2 linked regions of the Coturnix japonica genome follow. The protein of the gene in region 2 purifies or fractionates together with the protein of the main gene of each other region. This does not show direct contact. Links are inferred from orthologs where the notes say so. Each region holds a gene or a part of one and is shown on either strand. Other genes may lie near its edges.

The links.
Region 1: the proteins of NUP107 (region 2) and NUP43 purify together in Homo sapiens (affinity purification with mass spectrometry; 8 studies listed by BioGRID and IntAct, counting the BioPlex papers as one, with this or other methods). This does not show direct contact. The link is inferred for Coturnix japonica from reciprocal best matches to the Homo sapiens genes NUP107 and NUP43.

Annotation. Positions count from the first base shown.
Region 1 is NC_029518.1:43,393,321-43,401,274, forward strand, and holds the start of NUP43 (nucleoporin Nup43), read right to left. Parts: upstream 5,115-7,954; 5' UTR 5,069-5,114; coding exon 4,949-5,068; intron 4,831-4,948; coding exon 4,708-4,830; intron 4,447-4,707; coding exon 4,369-4,446; intron 3,611-4,368; coding exon 3,433-3,610; intron 997-3,432; coding exon 861-996; intron 19-860; coding exon 1-18. UniProt on the Homo sapiens protein: Component of the Nup107-160 subcomplex of the nuclear pore complex (NPC). The Nup107-160 subcomplex is required for the assembly of a functional NPC.
Region 2 is NC_029516.1:31,996,997-32,004,283, reverse strand, and holds part of NUP107 (nuclear pore complex protein Nup107), read right to left. Parts: intron 7,018-7,287; coding exon 6,946-7,017; intron 6,459-6,945; coding exon 6,370-6,458; intron 5,521-6,369; coding exon 5,442-5,520; intron 4,794-5,441; coding exon 4,680-4,793; intron 3,225-4,679; coding exon 3,134-3,224; intron 2,205-3,133; coding exon 2,128-2,204; intron 1,722-2,127; coding exon 1,662-1,721; intron 965-1,661; coding exon 819-964; intron 704-818; coding exon 655-703; intron 1-654. UniProt on the Homo sapiens protein: Plays a role in the nuclear pore complex (NPC) assembly and/or maintenance. Required for the assembly of peripheral proteins into the NPC. May anchor NUP62 to the NPC. Involved in nephrogenesis.

The sequences.
Region 1 (7,954 bases), on a different chromosome or scaffold from region 2:
GGAACTCTGTCACCAGTCCTGTAAAGGAGAAGAAGAAAAATAAATGTGTAAATTATATCTTCATGCAATTTACACTTTCTCTTTTTTACACTCCATAAGCATTGACCGACAGGGCAACTGTGTCAACTGCAGCCACATGACACCTACTGGAGTGAAGACCTATAGCAGTAACAGGCTGCTATGACTGGAGGGCAGCAGGTTCTGTGTGCTTGGGCACAAGGCACCTACACAACATGCAACAGCTTTGCAAGGATGAGAAAGCCTTGTGTACAAATATTTCAAGTATGCCTACAAGGAGGTAATTCTGATATTCAAGTTATAATTACAGTTGCAACATACGCAGCCAGCTACAGATGGAGACCTGAGTTAAAGAGGGAGATAAGGCGCTAACCAGGTACCAAACCCTAAGCCTATTAACAGCAATGGGAACTATTCCATAAACAACAGGATTTGAATCCAGCTTTGTTTTCTCACAATACCTTAAAAGGCATAAAGTTATCCTTCAGAAACATTTCAAATGGCAGCAATTTTTTATAGGCCTTTTGGAAAAAAACAGATGTATAATTAATCAGCTAAACAGGAAGAAGTGCTTTGCTTTGCTCTTAAAGAATGAACATGCAGATACAATAGTCCTTCAGAGTTAAATCACAAAGCAGACCATTACAGCGTTCAGTCACAGCAGTAATTAAGCAGACTCTGTTTTTGGTACTGAAATACCAAAGCAGTAGAAATATTCCGGGGGGAAAAAAAAAGGTTATTTATCATCCCATAGCCAAGAATGAGGCGGTAACAGGAGAGACTTAAATCAGATATGAAGTAGCATGTGCTTCTCAGTAAGTAGACAAAAATTAAGGTCTTACAAAGAAAATATCTGAGCTGGCTCATTTCTTTGTTGTCTGAAGTCCCATATTTTCAACTGTCCAATTGAATTTACCGTCAAGATCTCAGTCGTGCGAAGGAAAGTCACAGCATGGAGCGTACTGCTATCTGCATTGTCTGCAAGAGAGGTTAGCAAAGCATTAAACTACAAGTTCAGGTAAACCTACAGAACACTTAACTCCATTTAATGAACACTAAACAGCTCTTCTAAAACCAGACTACATTCTCAGGGTCAGAGATGGCCCAGCGTTATGTGAAATTTTAAGTGTTGCAAGAATAACCTTGCTTCCTATAGAAATATTATCTAGACAAACCTGTAAGAAGCTGTGTTTGATTAGATCCAGTTCTTACTGACTCACTTGCTAATCCGTAAGTTTTCTTTCTGGAGTACCTAAGAATAATCAATTAAGCCGAGCCTGTGACTTTCCTGAGAGTTCTCTTTACAAGCTCTCAATCCACAAATACAAGAAAGGCTGCGGAGTTTTTAAGAATGCTCTTCTCCTTTCTGTTTCTCCTACAAGAAGCTGTAATTCTTGCTGAGAACACAGAACAGTGGAACACAGAAGCACTTATTTCAGCAATCGGTGTTTAAAATACTTTCTTCAGGCACTTTCCAAGAGCAGTCATCAATATCATATTCATCCTTAAAGACAAACAGAAACAATGCTTTGTCTGTTAATCTGAACAAATGAGAAAGCCATTTTCCAGGTCTTTTTCTACAGTGCTCCTTCTGATCACAGTTTTCTACAAGTGCCAAGAACAGGTCACAGAACTGACTTGAAACAAGAGGCTTTAGGAGAGACTAAAACAAGCACTGCATCCATATAGAATCACTCTGTGTTATGTAACTCTTTAATCTTGATTATGATGGGGTAACATAAATCTATTTCCACTCCAGCTATTTAAAAACTAAACTAACCCCATCCCAGGCAACTTTAAAGCATCTTCCAACATTTCCTCTTCTCTCCCATTCCAACTTTTAGTCTTAAACCACCTCTAATCAATGAGCTTCTGCTAGTCCTTTCCACTTAAGTCCAAGTAAGATCAACTCACCAAGTCACACATTTGACTGAATTATTTATGGTTCATTTATATTTTATTATTTCTGTTTCCAAAAGGATATTTCTCAGTTAATTCACATCTGATTTATTTTATGCATATGTTCCTGCTGAGCTCAGCACCTCAGTGCAGTCTCAGTTTATGTTACCAGTACAAAGTAATCATTTTTACATAATACCACCAATGAGCACTAAGAAAACTACTGATTGCATCCTGCACATTATTACATCTGAATACAATCATTTGAGCAACTGCTCAGAAAAAAACAGAGATCTGTGAGGACATTTCCCTCCTGAGTCAGCAAAACATTCTGTTCCATTAAACCTGTACCGAAACATTCTGTGCTGGTATCCATTTATAAATGAAAACTTGAAATTAAAATAAACCTTTTTAACTAATTACTTTTTTCCCCTCAGTGCTGAAGAGTTGAAGAGTTACAGGGTTTTGGGTTTTTTTTGCGTGTTACTGATAAAACTCTGCCTTGTGCAACTTCTGTGTTTCTTCCTATGTTTTAAAATGACTTCCTGCAGTTCTCAGAGAGCTTCAGTAAAGAACTGTATGCAATTAATAGGATTTGCTTTGTGTGTGCATGTATACAGCCCTGCACACACAAATACCCCCCTCCAGAAATCCCAGGGAGCTTCATTCCTTAATTGGCTTATCACTGTCTAAGTTCCTTCATCTGTTCAATCTGAAGCAAGATTTCACTTGAGGAGAAACACAGGCAACGTGTCAAACTGAGGTTTCAGGGAGAAAGTTCCATTATCAATAATGCTGTTACTGCGCTTCATATCATTTCTGCTTTTGTTTTCCACATGCTACTCCATGAAGGCAGCAAGATGGAAATGCTGAGAATAAGCTTTGACACCTTCCACAAGCACTTGTTACTCTATTAGATAATTCTATCTCAAGAAACATGAACCCATTTCACTAAGTGAGAGATGACGGCTGTGAGCCATGGCACCTGGTACAACAGGGGACAAATAGTAACTTCTGGCTCCTTGTGCTCCTTTAGAACACACAAATTCTTTTCCACACAAATTGATGGTTTTGAGTATGGATAACACAAGGCTTAAGCTTACTATAAATAATGAATTGAAATGACAGTAGTTACCGACCCCTGCTTATAAACAATTGATGACACGATGCTTCTGGAAATAGAACTATCTCGTGCATTCTATCAGAGCATTTAATGACTCCAGATCAAACAGAAGCATTCTGGGAATGTTAAATCTTAAAACATCTCCACCAGTTAAAACATAACTTACAAACTGAATGCATATAGAAACATATCTGAAACATACTTCAAATACTTGTAAGTCTGGAGGAATGTAGGAATGACCTGGAGGAAATACATTCACCTTGGGATATTGAATTCAGTTCTCAATTGCTTTCCTTTCTGTCACACAATATTTTGGCTAAAATAAATATTCTATTCTATACACCAACCGAGATGTTCCAAACCAAAACATGCTGAGCATTGACTTGACATACCTATAGTCCTCACTGCATCCTTTTGGTCAGCTCTGAAGAGATTAATTCTACCATCTTCTCCGACAGTGACAATTTCTGGGTTGTTGCAGATGACTCCGGTACACGCTGCTCCACCACAAGCTGTGTATTGATCCGCGTGATAATGGGCGTTCTCCCACCGGTGACTGGCAGATAGAGTCTAAGTAGCAACCAGACATGAGATTCTGCTGGTAAATAACGATCCCGATTGAGTAAAGCTTTCGGAATACTCACAAATACTCATACAACTGGAAAGAAGCTCCAGGAAAGCCATAGTACCTCACTGCAATAGGAATCTTCTACATAAATAAGAACCAGAAATCTGAACTTCCTTGGTCTCCCTTCAGTGAGGCACTGTCTGCTCTGAACCATCTCTTTCACACAAGAGAGAGAACTTGGAATTAATAGGATCTATGTCTGAATATGAAGTATCTCTCACTAGACTTAGCCTCCAATCTTTTCCTAGGACAAAGAAATAGAACTTGAGCCTTTACAAAGTGTAAGATCAGATTTAGATTCTGATTGAAGGAAACTCGGTTTATCCTAAGTACCACATGAAACTATTAACAGATGTTAGTCTTTGTTGTGCCATGCAAATAAATAAAAGTACAAGTTCACTCATTCCCACTCCCTGAAATTATTTATTCTCATATATATAACCGCATAAAAACTCAAGTACATTTTTAGTGAGTGGTCTATTGCTTACAACATATTAACAGAACCCAATCTGTCTGGCTCTGGAATCTGATTTATGCTGTGTGTGTCGAAGATGTTTTTCTCCCTGTGCAGGTACAAAACCAAATCTACTTCTAAAATGCTTTGAAGAATTTATTGCTGACTCTGGATGCCTCCTGCTTTTAATTTGAGAAATCTCACGCTGAGATCCAAGGGACCCGCACTGCAGCTGCAGGTGCCTACCTGGTTGTTCTGATGATGCCGGAACACAGTCACGCTTCCTGTTGATGAGGCAACAACAATTCTCTCTTGATCCAAAAACTAAAGAGATTAACAAGCACGTTATGAGTTGATATCAACACCAGGATGGTGATTTTCAATTCAGAGTATTCAGATGTGTGGGTAGGTGCAGTAAAACACCCACAAACTGATACTCATTTAATTTGCCACTCTTCATAACTTTCTTTGTTAAAAGCCACAGAATGACCCGGGTTGGAAGGGACCTCAAGGCTCATGTAGTTCCAACCCCCAAGTCAGCTCCTTGTCACCCCGTTTGCCTCAGATGACGAGCAGCTCCCTCACCTGCATGTCCATCACGTCTCCGTTGTGCCGGATGTCACACAGCAGCTGAGGCTCTCCTTGATATTCCCCATTGAGGTCCGCGCTTCCCGCATCTCCCACAGACCACACGGAGATGCGGTTGTCCTGCAGGGAAACGACACGGCCGCTTTTACCTGTGGGCTGCGGACAAGGACTCCCCGGCGCCTGCGGGGCCCGAGGCGGGGGAGGCAGCGACCCGCCCGGTAAGGCCGTGCCGCGTTACCTCGTTGTCCCAGGAGCCGGTGGCGAAGAGCTCCGGGGGCTGCAGCGCGGCGGCGGGCAGGGGCCGCCATCGGGCCTTGCTGATCTTCTGCGACACGAACCGCGCGCACACCTCCTCCATGGCGCCGCACGGCTCCCGCCGCTGCCACGAGCCGCCTGATTGGCTGCGGCCCGACGGCGAGCGCCGAGGGACAGCGCCGGGAGCGGCGGAGAGCGCGGGCGGGCGGGCGTTCTTTTTCACCTCCAAATAGTACGCGGCCGAACGTTTGTGTATCACAAGCAGGATCCCCAGGGCAGCACTGACAGCCCCGAGGCAGCCGGAGCTCAAGGAGCGTCTGCATGACACGCTCAGACCGAGCTAGGGCGTGAATCCGGGTGGTGCTGCGCAGCGCCAGGCGCTGGGCTCTACGATCCCTTTGGGCCCCTTCCAGCGACTCATCACCAGAGCCATGAACAACTGCTGTGCACAAAGTTCAGGGGTCAGCTGTAAAGCGAGCTCCGCGATGACACGGCCGGGCCCATAGGCCATTCCCACAGGCACCTTCCCACTTCTTGCTGTGTTTTCTCACAGCTCGCACTGCCACTGGTTCTTCTCTTTGCTCAGGAGCGCTTGATGGAAAGCATTTGAAGGGAACTTACTCCCAGGAGGGGAGTAAACTCTTCGAAAGGGCTGACAATAGCAGGACACGGGGAAATGGTTTTAAGTTGAAAGAGGGAAGATTTAGGTTGGATGTTAGGGGGAAGTTCTTCACTAGGAGAGTGGTTAGGCCCTGGAACAGGCTGCCCAGGGAGGTTGTGGGATGCCCCGTCCCTTGGGAGGTGATTCAGAGACCGCAAGGTTTGGACGGGGCACTGGGGCAACCCTGATCTAGTAAAAGTCGTGTCATGTTCTGTTTTGCGGCCGGCTAGCCAGGCAGGGGGTTGGAACTACATGATCCTTGAGGTCCCTTCCAACCCAGGTCATTCTGTGATTCTGTGATTTGGGAAGCACTAAATCGAGTAGGAGGGGCACAGACTGTTTACACTGGGATGGGAAAAAGAAGCAATTTTTCTTCCCTGTCTTGTTTTTTTTTAAGTTTCTTTTGGCAGCACGTTCTGTGTTGGATTTAGGGCTGCTTTGTAGGCCTTTAATCTCCACATTTGATCATTATAAAAGATGGGTACTGTGTTAGCACGTTATTTCAGTATAAGATCAAATTCAATTAAACAAGTGAAAGAGAGAAACAAAGACCACAAGACAAAATGCCTCATCAAGCATTACTCAGGTTGTCAATAAGGACTTTAAGAGCAGACAATGCTGGTTCTGGGCGCTGGGCCCAAACATGCAGCAGAGGCAGAAATGAGTTTGTATGGGTTCACAGAATCACAGAATTATCAAGGTTGGAAAAGATCTAGAAGATCATCCAGTCCAACTATCACCAATACTTCCCAGCTAAATCATATCCCTCAACACAACATCCAGACGTTTCTTGAACACTCCCATGGTCGGTGACTCCACCACCTCCCTGGGCAGTGCATTCCAATGCCTGACTACCCTTTATGAGAAGTAATACTTCCTCATGTCCAGCCTGAATCTCCCCTGCCGCAGCTTAAAACCATTCCCTCTAGTTCTATCACTGATTACACGAGAGAAGAGGCCAACCCCCAGCTCACTACAACCCCCCTTCAGGAAGTTATAGAGAGAGTTATAGGTTGTTCTCATTGTGACTAAAGTTAGGAGTGTGCTAACTTAGGGAAGTGCCTGCTTCAATCTCCTGAACAAGCACAGCTGCCAATGCAGGGCACTGCAGAGCAGATGTAGGAGCAGAGAGCTGGGGCTGTGAGCTCACCCATAGCTCTTGCTTGCCCTGACCTATGGAGGCAGAGTGCAAAATGACCTTCGATGCAAACATCTGAAATGGAAATAGAAAATTAAGGCTGATTTGGGACAACAGGAAGAGAGAAGATGAAGGAGAACGATTCAGTTAAAAACAGAACAGGGGCAGGGAGAGGAATGAGTGTAAGTGTAGAAGCCAATTAGTGTGTGGTTTGGGACATAGCTGCGGAAATGCTCAGCAGCACCATTTCATAAAGAAATCGCTGCTTGCCGTATGTATATGCAGAAGCAGATGGGACCAGACAGTGATGAACAACTTTTCATATGCTTTTGAAATTCAAAGGCTTTCAAAATTCTAATGGGAGCATGAGGTGGGAGGGAAGGGATGAAACAGAAATAGTAGCACGGAAGGGTTTATATATAAATGTACAAGAGATGTGGGTGAATGTGCAGAAAAGGAGAGAGAAGTAATGGGCTGCATGCTAAAAACTACTGGGATCTCCACATCAGAGCAATCACATAATGGCCCGCTACTGGCATCTCCCTGCCCCTTCCTTGGCAGGGCATGGAGGCATTGGGGAGGTAGTTGTACCTCTGGAAGGCAGAGAGGCCTGAAACTGGACATGTGGGGACTGAGGTGTCGATGCTGGTTTGGACAAGTGTATGGGAAATCACAGCTTGAACCTCTGATTAATCAGCTGAGGCAAGTGCTGGGTCAGCTGTGGGAGCACAGGTGAGAGTAATTTAGCTGTGCTCCAGGAAGGGGTGGACCTTGACCACCTCCTCTAAGACCTCATTTAAGGGCTGACCACCACTGAGACAGCATCTCTGGGAGATTGGTCCTCAGTGGAGACTGCCTCAGCTTTCTGGTCAAGACATTGATGTTGGTGAGTTTTCCTTTGCTAATAACCTTTGACTATCTACCATCATCTTTGTTAGCATCTTTATACTAGCCACCCTTACAACAAGCGAGGAGGAAGATGAAGGAATCTTAAGTGTCAGAGCAGATGAAAATGTGCTGACAGACAGAAAACACTTTAAAAAATTATATATATTTTTTAATTAATTATTATTATTCTAGCATAGAACACAGGCATTCTTTCATGGGTTTTTATTGCCAAGCATGCTCTTAATAGGTTTTAATAACAAACTAATGGTCTGGAGCTATACAGCAAAAAATGCAAGTGACTC
Region 2 (7,287 bases):
ACTGTCTATGAATCTTTAGGGAAAAGGCCTGTGAAACTCACTTGAATATATCTTTTCTGTAGGGAAACTAAGGCATGAAACACAATTCAAATGCACCCATGAAACTGGCTGGTGAGCACAGCACCAGAAAGGCCACGGCAGCTGAGTGTACCTGGCTGGCTGCTTCCATCTGCAAGCTTTTCATTTGACCCCATCTAATACAGTTTCAATTTAATCTTTACAAAAATTAACATCTAATTTATCTATTCCAGCTTAAATGAAAGGACAAACACAGTGTACTAAAAATATACATACTTCTTTTGAAAGACCTGCTCTGAAATATACATGCGAACCTCCCACAAAGAAAACCCCAAGCAATCATTCTTCACACATTTTATCAGAGTGTTAATAATGCGATTTACATTGTCTGCTTTGCACGTCTGACAGCAATTTGTGCTCCGCTGTTTCTTCAGCACATTCAATTAGTTTGGCAGATAAGAAACAAGACAAAACCTGCACCTTCTTCATCATTAAAAGGTGTCAGAAAAATCTATTTGAATGAAGAATACATTACAGGGACAGAAAGCCAGTCACTGTTTGATGAAATAGAGGAGCACAAAGGACTGTGTAAGTTAAAATAGCCAACAGTGAGGAGAAACTGTCAGCAATAAATACCTTCTTGTCTGTTGCCTGAAGTTCTTCAAATACTTTTTCTGAAGTCCAGCTTTAAAGTAGAAGACAGAAGGTTAAAAAAAAACCCCACACCACAAACATTACATTTAATACTGTGAAACGATCCTTTGTTGAGGGGAGGAACACAACTGCTACCTAAAACTTACTTGGTTTCTAAATACTCCCTCGGGAGCTCTTCCACCTCCTCGGCACTTACTACTGATGTTCGTATTTCCTGCTCCACGAGTGTATCCACCATGACCCTGAAATAAGCCCAAACGGTGTCCTCCCACGTGTCACAAACTGGAAGAAGCTGCATATTTTAAGCAACAGAACAGAGCAAAATGTTAGAGATGGAGAACCATCAGAATCCAAACACACCAACTGTAACTTAGGATCAGTTTTTTTTCCTCAGGGACATGATTTAGCAGAGGGTTGTTAGATGGGGTCATATGGTTGGGTTGTGGTTGGACTCGATTATCTTTAAGGTCTTTTCCAACCTGAGCAATTCCATGACTCTCTGATTTGCCGTCTTTGTGCTAAAACTTCATATCCAGTTCCTTCTCCTAAGTAGTGATTTATTTACATACATGTACAAAAAGCATCGGTACTTAGAAGAAGGAGAGCACAGAAAATACCTGGAGGATTCAAACACATAAGAAGAACTACTTGAAACTATCAATAGTGAAATTTGGTTACACTGACAAATCAGAATATGGTGCATGGGCAGAAAAGTGGCTGCACAAGCTTTTAGATAACACTAACATTTCAAATCTAAAACAACAAAATCAAAACCGGTTGCCCTGAGGGTCAGCAACAATAATACTAAAAAAGTCTATTAAGTATATTTAATTAAGGCAGAAAAATCTTGCACAGACCATGTCTGTTATTGCTATTGTCATGATTACTAAGCTTTTGAAAGCACATTAAGAAGAATGTCTTTATGATGTTATTATCACATATAATAATTCACAAGTGCTGAACACCATGTACTAGGAGGCCTAACATACCTGCTTGAGGTTTCCACTGAGTGCTGCATAGATTGCTCTCTCGTATCTGTTGAATTGCTCCTAAAATAAACAGTTGAAAAATTACCCATGAGTTAAAAAGCACCAACACATCCTGATAAGTTACATTTTATTAGAGACTAATCCATTACTAAGTGTTCCATGCACTTGAAAAGTTGAAAAGCAATGGTTTTTCCTTTCCCATTCAGCTGAGCCCAGATGAAAACCAGCATCAGCAGCTTCACTCTCAACTAAACAAAACTGACATTTCCAAAGCCTTAAAGATTGATGCTGATTGGGCAGGTTTTATCTACATGAAAAATATATTATTTCAGAAGTCCTCTTAGAAACATGAACCGCAAATCCCCACAGACAGTAAACCAAGAAGGCAGGCTTACTTAAAATCATGTTATAGTTCAAAGAAGTTGAACATTTCACATGACTACCAAGCAAATTAACATTATCTTACCTCTTCAGCCATCCGCCAACAACATATTTTCCAAATGCATCTGTATGGATTCCCTTCAACAGGCCGGACCTCGTTTCCTGTTTGCAAAGGATAATAATAATAAAAACAACACTCCAAAACAAGGCTAAGACACCAGTCGAGATAAAAGTAATGGGATATCAGGGTTTGAAAAGCAGGAAAGCATTATGCCTTCCAGTCTCAGGTGTGCACAGCACTCAGACATGCTCATAAATCCTTTGCTAAATCTAGCAAAGTCCAAATACTATAAAACCATGTATTTTTCCTCCGTTTACCTTTGCAGAGCTCTTTAGTCCTATTATATCTCTTGGCTTCCAAGAGATCTTGGAATGCTTATGGACTCCATCTTGGAGTCTATAAGCAATAAAATGTTTGCTAGCTGGCTTAGTGCCTTTAAACTGGAATAGCTTTAAACTGAAAGAGGGAAGATTTAGATCAGATATCAGAAATCCTTAACTGTTAAGAGTGGTGAGGCACTGGAACAGGTTGAACAGTGAGGCTGCAGATGTCCTCTACCTGGAAGCACTCAAGGCCAGGCTGGATAGGGCTGTGAGCAACCTGGTCTAGAGCGAGGTGTCCCTGCCTGCAGCAGGAGGTTGGAACTAGATGGTCTTAAAGGTCCCTTCCAACCCAAACCATTCTATAATTATAGAAGGCAGAAGGTTCTCTGACATAGAGAAAACACGTACTGAGACATGAATGGTGGTGGTGAAGATCTGTCCAGAATTCCTAGACATCTGTTTTCCTAGCTGCTATGTTTGTATAAAAAAACACCCAAAAATTGACTTAACTATGTTAAGTGGATTCAGTGAACTCATACCTTCAATTAAATCATCTCATGCATGTTAAATGTGATCAACAGACATGGTAAAACATATTCTAGGCACAAGAAAGACCCTCAGTATTAAATAAAGAGCTAATTCTCTTTGCTAAAGAGAAAACCCTCTGCTTATTTTTACAGTTCTCAAATGCAGATGGAAGTAAATACCTCCATTTATGTTGGGATCATGATACAATTTCCATCCTTCCAAAGTTGCAGCTCTCCAGGCCTGACCGCATCGTTTGCATAAGCGCTGGGCCTGAAAAATAATAGATTTTCTCTGCAATCGACTTCAAGGGAAGAAATGCAAACGTTATTAAAATCATTCATTTGTGTAGGGATTGCACTAGGCAAAAAAGAACCTGAAACTCAAAATAACTGAAGAATTTCAAAGTAATGAAATGTAATCAGTGTGTTTCTCATTAAATGTTTAAGTTTTTATCAATACTTACTTGTAAGTATGATAGATGCATTACAGTCTCACCCTTCTGGCTTAAACAGCTGTTCCATGTCCTTCTGACAAGCTTAAAGTACCACCTTGTTGCTTAAATCCCTTAACCATCTCTTCACCTACTTTTCTAATTGACGTAGCTTTCCAAACCCCTTGTGTGCTGCTAAAAATACCACGTCTAACTTTCCCATGATATCAATAGCCTACTCACTAGAACAAAGAGATTTAATTCGAAGCTATTTTGAACAGCATGGAATGACAATGGTCAAGCTCACATACTATATTTTATCTATCGTAAGATAAAGGAACCAAGGCTGTTTCTTGGTTTTAACTCTTTCAACAGAGAATAAGTGACTCCATGCTTATCAGATAGTAGGAACACCGTAGTGCAACTGAAATTGAAGATTTATATTCATACCCCTCTGAAGCAACGTGGACTTGTGCCCATACTATCAAACAATGAATGGACAGGGGAACAGAATACCAGCAAGTGACCAACTTTCTAATCTAAGGTCTTAGACACAGGAATCTGAAGTACCTTTTCCTTTCCATTTTCCAAATGTCATATAATTGTAGAGCCTGGTATAAGACTGAGCTTCCAGCTCAGACCACACCACAGTACAGCTAGTTACGTTAAATCACAAAAGCTGCTTCACAACTGGACATCTTTACTTGGAACAGCATTAGGACCAGGACTGCCAGATGTTACTCAGATAAGGATTAAGGCAAAATATAGAATCATAGAATTACCCAGGTTGGAAAAGACCTTGAAGACCATCAAATCCAATTGCAGCCTAACCAGAACCCTAACTCTAAAAACCCTACACTAAATCATATCCCTGAGCATCACATCCAGACGGCTCTTAAACACATCCAGGGATGGGGATTCAACCACCTCCCTGGGGAGCCTATTCCAGTACCTAACTACCCTTTCTGTAAAGAAGTTCTTCCTAATATCCAACCTAAACTTGCCCTGGCGCAACTTGTATACGCATTGTATATTCTGTAGAGCAGCCAAGAAGCAGAATTATAGTAAAAGGGTGAATGGAGAATAGTATGCTTTCTAGAATATTCCAATACAGTCTATTTGAGGTTTTTCCTTACAAAGACACCTGGCCAAACAGTAAAGGTTAAAAAAAAAAAGGTAACATGCTATGCCATGACTTTCCCTCAGCTCCATTCAAATCATACAGCTTTAATAGTAAGGTTTTAAACAAGTTAAACTACTTAACCGAGAATATTCTTTCATTTTCTGAGGTTTACCTCATCTGTCATCCCTGCTCTGATAAGAGTGAAGAGATACTTCAGTAATCTTGCATCGTCTTCTCGATCCAAATCATCAAGTGGCAGTTTCTGTCTAATGGGAGCATCTGGATCCTGCAAGGAAAAAAAGGAACCATCCATCCATTCAAATAATGCGTATCCGCCTCTTCCAATGATTTCCTGTCCTGTTTTACAATTCAGAGTCACATTTTCATATTGGCACAACATGTTATACAGCCCACATAATCTCTAGCATGATGCTTCCTTGTCTTTATTTCCTTTATTCCTCTTCTGTCACTGTTCCTATCAACTGTAATCTCCTTATTTATCACTATGCCTCTGCCTCAAACCTCTCATCTTCCAGCTCTTCCCACCTTAAAAGCCCTCTCCCCTTCTGCTTATCAATCTACCTGTCTATACTCCTCCAGCTTCTCAGCAGCCTTTTCACACTAGTTGTACTTGCTTCTATTTAAAACAAATATATCAAGATCTGATAATTTTAATCATTATATTAATCATCCAGCGACTTCCAACTTTGGCATTCACTAATATCCTCTCATCAGCGACCTCCTTACTGCTTCACCATTTCTGTACTGATTTTCCAACTTAATGCCTTGTCATTTTTAGATACTACAACAATTTATAGATACCAAAAACTGCCCCGTTCCACCCATTTTTAGAAAACAGCATATGTGTTCTGTGCAAAGCATTTTGAATGGCTTTTATGCCCAAAACCAAGTCTTATATTTAAATAACACTTACCAATTCTGTTACCAGAGGTCGAGAACTTCCAATGAATGTACTTAACTGTCGCTGCTTCAGGATATGTAGCGTATTCTCCCTGGGAGCAGTGAAATGTTTTTGAGAGAAAGAAGGGATTAATAGCAAACATTTTAATAAGACATTAAAATTAGAAAATATTTCTGGATAATTGGAATAGGGTTACAAGAAAGGAATGCTTGGTTTGGTTTGTGCATCAATGAACAGTGTTATCGTACAATTTCATTAGAAGTACAATACTGGAATCAATGCACGTGGCTTTGACTTCTTTCAAAACCACTTTCAATGTATATGAACTATTAATCCATTTCTGCATGAACAAGATTTCCCATTAGTGTTCAGCATTATCGGTCTTGGATAGAAATACAACTTAGGATGAACACACGATTCCAGAAGCCTGTGTTCACCTGTCTTTAAAACAATGCTTATAATAGGAACTAGAATCAAGAAGACTTTGCTCTCTACTGCCTTAAAATCCTTGGCTGGTAATAAAGATGACAATAATTACTTTTGGTGAAGGATAAATGGTAAAAAGTGATGACACGAACTTCAAAAGCCAGACAAAGAACTGAGCACAGAAGAGAAACACATGAGAACAGTTTTATCACCTGCTGATCAGCAGCTGACCATCTTTTTGATGTCTTTTTGATGAAAAATTAAACTGTCATCTATGTAAAACTAAATTAAATTGTTTTCACAACCTTCCTGTCACCTGCTCCTCCCAAAGGCAGTATCTGACTTTTGAGAAGACATAGCCAAACTGGGGAGTAGCTCACTTTTCATATCAATGAATTTAAGGAAAAATGAATGAATGGACCAACTTCTTAGGTGGTTCTAGACTGATTCTGTGTCTGGTTCTGTGAATATTACAATTGAGGAAGCATGGATACAATCAAAAGTCTGAACTCACCAATACACAGATTTTGCGTAAAACTCAATATTATCAGAGAAGTTCCCAATTTCATCCTTGGCGATGCTCTCTAGCCAATCTACCACCAGCTGGAATGAAATTCAATAGCTTTTTTTAGAACAAACACACAATAAATAATACTCCATCTTTCTCTCATCTCTGAATCTATTTGATATCTACACAGTAATCCAAGGCGTACATATCCTAAGAAAAAGCTCAACTTAAGTGCCCAGTTTGAAGCTTGTTTTGGCACTTGATATATTTCTCACTAGATGCTGCAGTTACTACTGCACTATTTAATAGCTCCTTAATTAGTAACAACAGTTGCAGATGATCCAAATTGGAACAGTTCTCAGCCTTCTATGCTCTCCAGCCCAGCCTGAAATATTTCTGATCTCTAGAAATCAAGGAGCAATATTGCTGCACAGGCCTAGATGAATATAAAGAAATAGTTACTTGACACAGCTTAATAAAATACACAGAGCTCATATTTTCTAAAGCTGATGTAACATTAGTTTCATAAATATTTAAGTGTTTACTCATCTATTTCCGTTCTCACCACAAAAATTCTCTTACCTGGCTTTGTCGAACAAGAGCATCTTTCTGAAACAAGTTGTCTACATTCATCTTTTCGCTTGCATTTAAAACCTATTGAGAAAAACTTCATCATCACTTGGTGGAAAAGAAAACTTACCATAGAAACATCAATCTGAACAGTTTTTAACTTCCAAAATTGACTTGGCATTCACCCCCTACCCTGTCCTTTTTCAGAAACAGATGATGCCACACATCTGTTTTATTTGGATGCTCTACTTTCTGTCACACTAAGATTGATAATACGATTCAAATGTGTGGTCACAGAAAGATTTTACACAGTAGATCCATCAACTCCATTGACTGCTCTCACATTACCACAAA